Linked DNA regions of Arabidopsis thaliana. The protein of the gene in region 2 interacts with the protein of the main gene of each other region in a pairwise test. Each region holds a gene or a part of one and is shown on either strand. Other genes may lie near its edges.

What was found. Proteins that work in one complex are often made in the same cells at the same time.
Region 1: the proteins of AT5G05190 (region 2) and AT5G19960 interact in a two-hybrid assay, tested with the Arabidopsis thaliana proteins (one large-scale study listed by BioGRID).

Annotation. Positions count from the first base shown.
Region 1 is NC_003076.8:6,741,834-6,745,587, reverse strand, and holds the start of AT5G19960 (RNA-binding (RRM/RBD/RNP motifs) family protein), read right to left. Parts: upstream 1,711-3,754; 5' UTR 1,560-1,710; coding exon 1,449-1,559; intron 1,208-1,448; coding exon 1,109-1,207; intron 1,072-1,108; exon of another isoform or gene 1,017-1,071; coding exon 604-1,016; intron 257-603; coding exon 196-256; intron 126-195; coding exon 72-125; intron 1-71. Other genes in the region: AT5G19950 (tudor domain protein (DUF1767)), read left to right, coding at 1,886-2,167, 2,336-2,503, 2,705-2,918, 3,416-3,634.
Region 2 is NC_003076.8:1,539,625-1,543,378, reverse strand, and holds the start of AT5G05190 (hypothetical protein (DUF3133)), read right to left. Parts: upstream 2,162-3,754; 5' UTR 1,527-2,161; coding exon 1,406-1,526; intron 1,231-1,405; coding exon 1-1,230. UniProt on the Arabidopsis thaliana protein: Plays a negative role in salicylic acid (SA)-mediated resistance to powdery mildew (e.g. Golovinomyces cichoracearum). May modulate plant immunity by regulating the relocation of EDR1 by interacting with CHC2 and modulating endocytosis.

The sequences.
Region 1 (3,754 bases), 5.2 Mb from region 2:
CATTGGATCACTCGTGATTATGTAAAATAAATCTACCAACAGCCTATATGCACAGATAAACTACCTCATACCTCATCTCGAAGCGCCTCACGCATCTTAATCAGCGCTTCCAGATCTTCTTTCACCTGTAATAGAAGTTGCAAGTTATAAAATGAATTTATGCAAACACTGCATGGCTAAGAAAATCATCTTTACCTGATGATCTCCACTTGAATTAGAGAAGTGATCTCTGCCACGTCCACCATCAAGAATGGTACTGTCAATCCAACAAGAACACACAAAGATTTAGACATGTTAACAAAACCAAAGCAAGCCAAAACATTCCTCAAACGGTAACATGCACAAAGCCAACAAGAGCAAGAAACTTCCTCAAATCCATTACACTAAAATCGATGATAATTTATCAAACTTAACCACAACAGGTGTGGATGATTTGGTTTAGCGGCGTGACTAAGACTAGCATCCCAGTCTTTGACTCATTCAAACTAGCAGACCAATTTTACAAGAACAACGAATGTCACAATTCAAAGAAACAGGAGGAACACTAAAAGTTTGAAATCCAATGTGAAGTCTACAACTGCATTGTTTTCAACAAAAGTTTACCTATCTTCTCTCTTTGTTTCTTGGCTCCTTCCTTCGTGAGCACTGGTCCCATTTATTCCCCTACCATTATCCACATAAGACCTATCCCCACGCCAATCTCCTTCATCACCATCGAAAACTCTTTCCTTATAACCATTTCTATCTACCATATCATGATCATTCCTCCTCTCAAAATCATGTGAATGCTCATAAGCTCTTTCCTTCTCTATGTAGCGATGATCTTTTCTCCTATCCTGAGACCTATCCCGTTCTCGAGACCTATCACTATACCGATCCCTCTCATAATTACCATCACTTCTCCTATCAGGACTTCTATCCCAACCACCGTGTGGTTGTAACCGCCCCGGACCTGGATTCATTCTTCCACCTCTTGTTGTCACATCATTCACACGCACTGCACGCCCACCAATACTCTGATTACGAGCTCAATACCGTCAACAATATAAACACACCACGTACATGATAATATAAACAAAAGAACAAAACTTTAGCAGTAGAACCATACTTTTCCATCCATATCTTCGATAGCATCATCAGCCGATCGACGGTTCGAAAATGTAACAAAGCCATAGCATTTCCCTCTTACACTCCGGTCATTGACAATCTGAATTCTCAAATAGTACACATATATGTCAATATACACTCTGACCAGCTCACATGTAAGATATATCAACTAGCAATTGGATGTTATCTAAATCACTTGGTCAGTCTTTCTACATAGATATCTACTAAAGCTTATCATCTATAAGATCATACAATAAGATTGGAACTTCAAAATCACGAAACGAATTTGAATCATCCTAATTAAGAAACTTAAATCAGGATATTGAAAAGAGAAAATTAACCTTAACGGTGAGGACGGAGCCGTAAATGGAGAAGACGCGACGGACAGCCTCCTCGGTGATGTCGTAAGGGAGGCCGCCGACGTAGACGGAGTTACCATCGTCCATCGTCATAACTCTTTATCGACTTTGGTCGGAATTCAACAAGGAAAGCAAAGTACTTTAGAAGTCGTACTGTCAGAAATCTTCGTGTTACATATGGGCCATTAGGCCCACTAAAACGAAACCGGAAAATACCTTTTTTATAGGACTTTTTCGAATTACTTTTCTAGTTTTTCTGTTAAAAATGTTCTTCTTTATTGATCAAAACGATTTTATGCAAAAAGTATCATTAGTGAATAGTAATTAGTTTAACTCGATATTGACCATAACAAAATCAATTCTCCAAATTAAAATCTCGTCTTCCCCAATTGGTTTAGCGCGACAAGAGCATCAACGCAATGGTGGGAACATCAAGCTCCTCCGCCGGCGACCACACCCACACCGTCGTGATAAATGCCCTAACTAGTCGGGGCTGGTGCTTCAGAGACGTCGAATACTTGAAATCCCTGGTCACTGAAATCTCTTCCTTGATCGGCGGCGGCAATAAAACAGGCGCCATCGTGGAGTCAGTGGAGGCGGAGCTGCTTAACATGGATATTAAGTTAATCGGAGGTAAATCCCTCCCGGACCCGACCGAGTTACGCAGGTGTTCTCATCTTCAAGGCCCCAAAGTTCTCCAGGTACATTGCTTCAATCAGCTAAAGTCAGTAACAATTGGCATTAGGTCTTCGCTAATTCAATGAGTCACTCTCACTGATATACTTAGATTTAAACTAGTTTCAGAATGCTCAATTGTTGCAGTTGATTCAAGCTGTTGAGTGTTAATTTGTTTTCTTTTGTGAGCATAGATAAGTTATGTTAGGGATGTTACAAGAAGTAGCGCAGAGGAATTTGTGGGAAGTTCCACTGGTAAACGAGTGCTAAAATTCGCTCTGACTGACGGGAAGACCGAAATATCCGCGCTTGAGTACTCTCATATACCAACGATTAACAATGATGTCACTCCTGGTACTAAGGTAGTTCCATTTCCATATCAATCTAATTCAAATTCTCCTTTACTATGTTTCTGAAAGTCTCATGCAAATATAATAGTTTGGATTAAGATCTAAATCAATAGAAAGCTAGTGCACATATGTGTTTGTCATGCATCAGAGGGTGTCATATGCAAATCATAAATCATTTTGTATTGTTGATATTTTGTACTGTCTCGTTGGCAGGTACGTCTAGAAAATAAGGCTGTGATACGTGATGGTCTAGTATGTTTGACTCCAAAAGAGGTGACTGTCTTGGGCGGTTATGTGCAATCACTCACTGAAGAATGGCAGATGAAGAAAAAATACGCTAGTTTGGCTCGATCTCAGGAAAGCAAAGCTGGTGATGGCCCTCCTCCATTTGAGGAGTTGAAGATTCGAACAGGTTCCCATCACCGCGGTAAGCAGGATTTTCTTATTCTCATCATTTTCATTCAGTTTTCTTCTAGTAATTTGTTGCATATTTAGTTCACTTTGAAACGGTTGGCCAATCTTTGCTACCAAATAAAATATCTACCATTTTCTATTTCATGTTGATAGTGTACATAAATATGCATTGACTGCAGCAAGGACTTATTCCATCCAAATGCACTTTAGCATAAACATATTAGTAATTTGACCCGAGCTCCAAAATCCCAATATATCCGTTTATGTAACCTATGACGACTCATGTAGAGGTCTGATCTATGTTTTCCCTTGGCTTTGTGTCCAACATTGGCGCTGTTGGGTCTCCATTGTTTCAATACTTAAACTTGAGTGAATGCATTTTCATTGTGGTAAAATTTATGATCTATTGAATTGTTCTTCCTTTGTGTGGGCTTACATAAAGTATTGTGATGGAAGTTTGGCCAATGCATCAAAAATTTAACTTGTCAGCATATGTTTGTTGGTTGACAGATTACAACAAGACGACTTCTAGAAACAATGTACCTATTGCTGCAGAAAGCTCTGTAAAACATGCCGGTGGAGAAAAAGGTGAAAGTAGTGAAGTTGATGGGAACAAAAGAGGCACAAATAAGAATATACAGAGGAATCCTGCAGATTCTGATCCGAAAATATCTGTCGAAGTTGAAAATCAGGAAAAGCGAAGCAGTTCCGATACACGACCTAAACAAGGTTTGCCATCATCTTTTTCCCTCATCGTCTCAAAAGCTCATTGTACAGCAAAGAACATTAAGGAGCGTTAAATTAGTTTGGCATTTTCATCTGGCAATTGCGTTGAAACCTTAGATGAGA
Region 2 (3,754 bases):
ATCTCGGATGATACTCAGGTTGTTCCATTGGTCTCTGTGGACTTGCAGAATATGAACTGTAAGAATTATGAAGCTGACCTGAATACCAACCGCCATGGTTTCTTCCCATTTCACCTGAGATCCTACTTCCTTGGCCCTGACCTCTTGCCCTTGGGTTGTTGTGATACATATAGTCAACAAAATCGTGGTTCATGCCTCCAGCGTATGAAGGCATTTGAAGTGAGTGTGCACGGGGATAGCGATCAAACTCATCATGTGACGGATGGGAAGGGCTTCCACGTGTGTATGATTCTCTCGGATAGAAAGGCATGTCAGGCCGAAGTTGTTCTGTCACATGTCTCCTCCCTTGTCTGCCAAGGCGCCCTCCTGGTCCCTCTAGCTGTAGAGACCTGTTCTGATGCCGCTCGTTGTATGTGGTAATCCCATTGCGCCTATTCTCAGAGAAAGGGGAGGAGGAACTAGCGCCTTGCTCCTTATACCCAGGGTATCTATGCATCTCAAATTTGCCTGATCTTATTTTCTGAAGAGCATTCCATTGTTCGTCATCATCGAGAAGTTGGCCTTCCCTTTCGTCAGAGGAAGACTCACTCCCATCATAAGCAGAAGAAGTCTTGTTTGCAGGATAATCAAGTTGGCTTTGCTTCTCTTCAACAGGGGAAGCATCAGGTGAGATCTCAGCATTGCCAGATGAATTACTCGCTCTTGCAGCCACCACATCATAAGCAGAAGGAGTCTTGTTTGCAAGAATGTCAAGTTGGCTTTGCTTCTCTTCTACGGGGGAAGCATCCGGTGAAATCTCAGAGTTACCGGATGGATTACTCGCTCTTGCAGCCACCACATGATCAACGCTCAAGCTTCCAGAGCTAGATCCAGATCCTGCAGCTTCTGCTACGGTGTTCATCATATGAGACTCCAATCTGGAGTTGTCTTCTCTTTCATTCTTCTCAGAATCACCAAGTGAACATTCCTGCTCTTGAATTTCATTTGTCCCATCTCCATTAGATAACTCTAAGTCATCAAGCTCCTTCTCCGTAGACTCCATGGATGCATTCCTACCTTTCTCATACTCTTGGTCCACGGAACGACCTGGAGATGACGGCAGAACCGTGTCCTGCCCCGAGCTGCTGGACACATTGTTGGTTTCAGGTACGCTTTGCGGCTCATTGGCTTGAGCCCTCTCTGTCTCTCCTGCACTTGGTGTACTGCTTGGAGCAATGTTCCGCCTTTTCGCTGAATCAAAGAAGCAACAACCAAATTTAATAATGAAAGAGATCATGCCACAAAACACAACTGGTTTGAGCTCAGACATCCAAACAGATGGACAACCAGGAGTAGAACAAAGCCAGATTCAGGGACAGAGTTCACATTATAATCAGAGGCAAAATCGAAATGGAAAGAAAGTTACCTTGAAGAATGGCGGAACAACCACCGCACTGATAAACAGGAACATCTTCGTCTTCCTGTAGAATCTTCAAGCACTTGGGACACCTCACCAACCGAATTTTCTGACCCGTCTGGCTCGCCATTGTTGGTACCAAATTTCAAAGACTTAACTCTACTTTTGTTATTTTTGGGTTATAACTCTACCTCATTAGTTAGAGAATCATCATCAACAGAACCCAGAACCCTAATAAACAGAGAGAGAGAGAGGAACCAAAGTAAAAGATTGAAACTTTGTGAAGTTCTTTAAAAGAAAATGGGAGAGGAGACCAGAGGAAGAAGGTCAACGCGGTGTGACTTTTAAGGAGGAGAAATGGTATAACCCGGGTCTGGTCTGAGAGCTGGTTACGGATCCGGGTAGAGATGAAAAATGGCGAGAAGGAAAAGATTACATGATTCAAGAAGCCATGAAAATTGTGTAAGATCCTCCACAGAAGAATCAAAGTAAAACTCTTTGCAGAGAGTTATTATAACTCGAGGGATTGTGGAAGAATAAACCCAGAAGTTGAAGATTTTATAGAGAGAGAGAGAAAGAATGAGATAGAAATAGAGAGGAGAATTTCTTGTCGTGGGGGCGAAGTAGAAGAAGAAGAAGAAGAATTGAGAGAACAGAGACAAAAAAACAAAAACAAATCGTTGGACAGACAGTTTTTTTTTTTTTTTTACTATGGTTTCTCTCTTTTCTTGTTTTTTTCCTCTGAGAAAAGTCTCTCTTTTTCCGTGTCTAAAAAGTTTTTTCTTTTTAATATCTCTTTGAGGAATTTTTTGGTATCTTTTTTCATTCTTGCAAGTCAATTAGAACATCAACGACTCGTTCTCTAATCACTATTCTTTCTTAAACAAAACCCAGTCTGTTGTTGATCTTTTCAATAAACAATATTGGCCCAATTTTTTTCTAAAGAAAGCATCTGCAACAGAGCTTTGTTAGAAGAATTAAGTAGAGGAAGATAAGAGAAAGAGTAAATTGGGTTCAGCTAAATAAAAATTTGGATAAAGAGTTATAAATGGAATGGTGTTGTTAATGTCGGCGCCTGTTTCATTTATTTTGGATAGAGAAATTTTAGCCCCACTACTACTTCCATTTTTCTCATTTATTGATCCCAGTCCTTTTTTTCTTACTTTTTACCATTACCTTCTTAAATATTTCCTAACATTCGAAGTTTGAATATTCCGGTAAATGACTAAATGTTGCCAAGGGAAATTAAATTACCGTGAATGTTGAAATGAATTGGGTTCCACATATTTATTTCTAGGACCTGACAAAAAGCATAATGATCATATGTTTTTCGTATATATATTTATATCACTGGTCGAATTTAACGAACTTTTCATTTTTCTAATGAGAATTCACTAGCCGTGTGAGTGTTTTCAATCACTTTTATTTATAACCAGACAAGTTGAGTCTTTGGTTCATAACCTTTTTAGGTATGAAACCAGTTTTCAAATATAGCACCTACAAAGAATTTGAAATTGATAGCAACGTAACAAAATATTAATCTTCAAATTGGTTCATAAAGTTTTAGGGAACTTGTGAGAAATAAATGAATAAAAGTTTTGTAGGGCTATCTCAAGTCAAATAGTATATATTAAGTATTAACGTACATGTATATCACATTATTTTTTAACGATATGAAAAAAAACTAAGGTAATGGTCGACAGACTCGGTCTTTTATCGTTTTGTGCTGTCTAGTTTCTCTACTTTCTAGATTATCGTTTTGGCTTTGTGATTCTGTAAAAGTCAACCTTTGTTGTGGTGTCCTATTTCTTTGTAGACTTAATTAGAGGTTGCTTCAATATTTGTTTTCTCTGCACAATCCAATGACTAACGGGATACGATTCACAAAACGAATCAAATCAAATCAAGTTCAATACCATTCGAGTCTTCTTCTTCACAGATTACAAATTCGATTATGCGTTGACTCTTTAATTGAGTCAATGGTTTGGACCACTACATGGTTTGTAAATGTTTATTTCTATTTCAAATCGCTAGCTGTTACCTAACATTCAGGACATGAACAAAAACTATCTTACTAAAAAAAAGTCAAAATTAAAGTTTCAAATGTATAAAAGATAATATTGGAGGTCAACTCCCATTTGACAACATTCATATATAGTTATAAATTGATTTTGTTTTTCTATTTACTGTGTTCCCATGATGTTTCGTGAACACATGAAGTTATGGTATTGAATAGAATGGATTTTCTTTTAGTTTTTGGTTTATTCTACAGAACAAGCTCTTGAAATAACTAAAAAATTCACTAACTAAAAACTTGTGATATATACCATGCTGGTTATATTCGCACAACGATTGCAA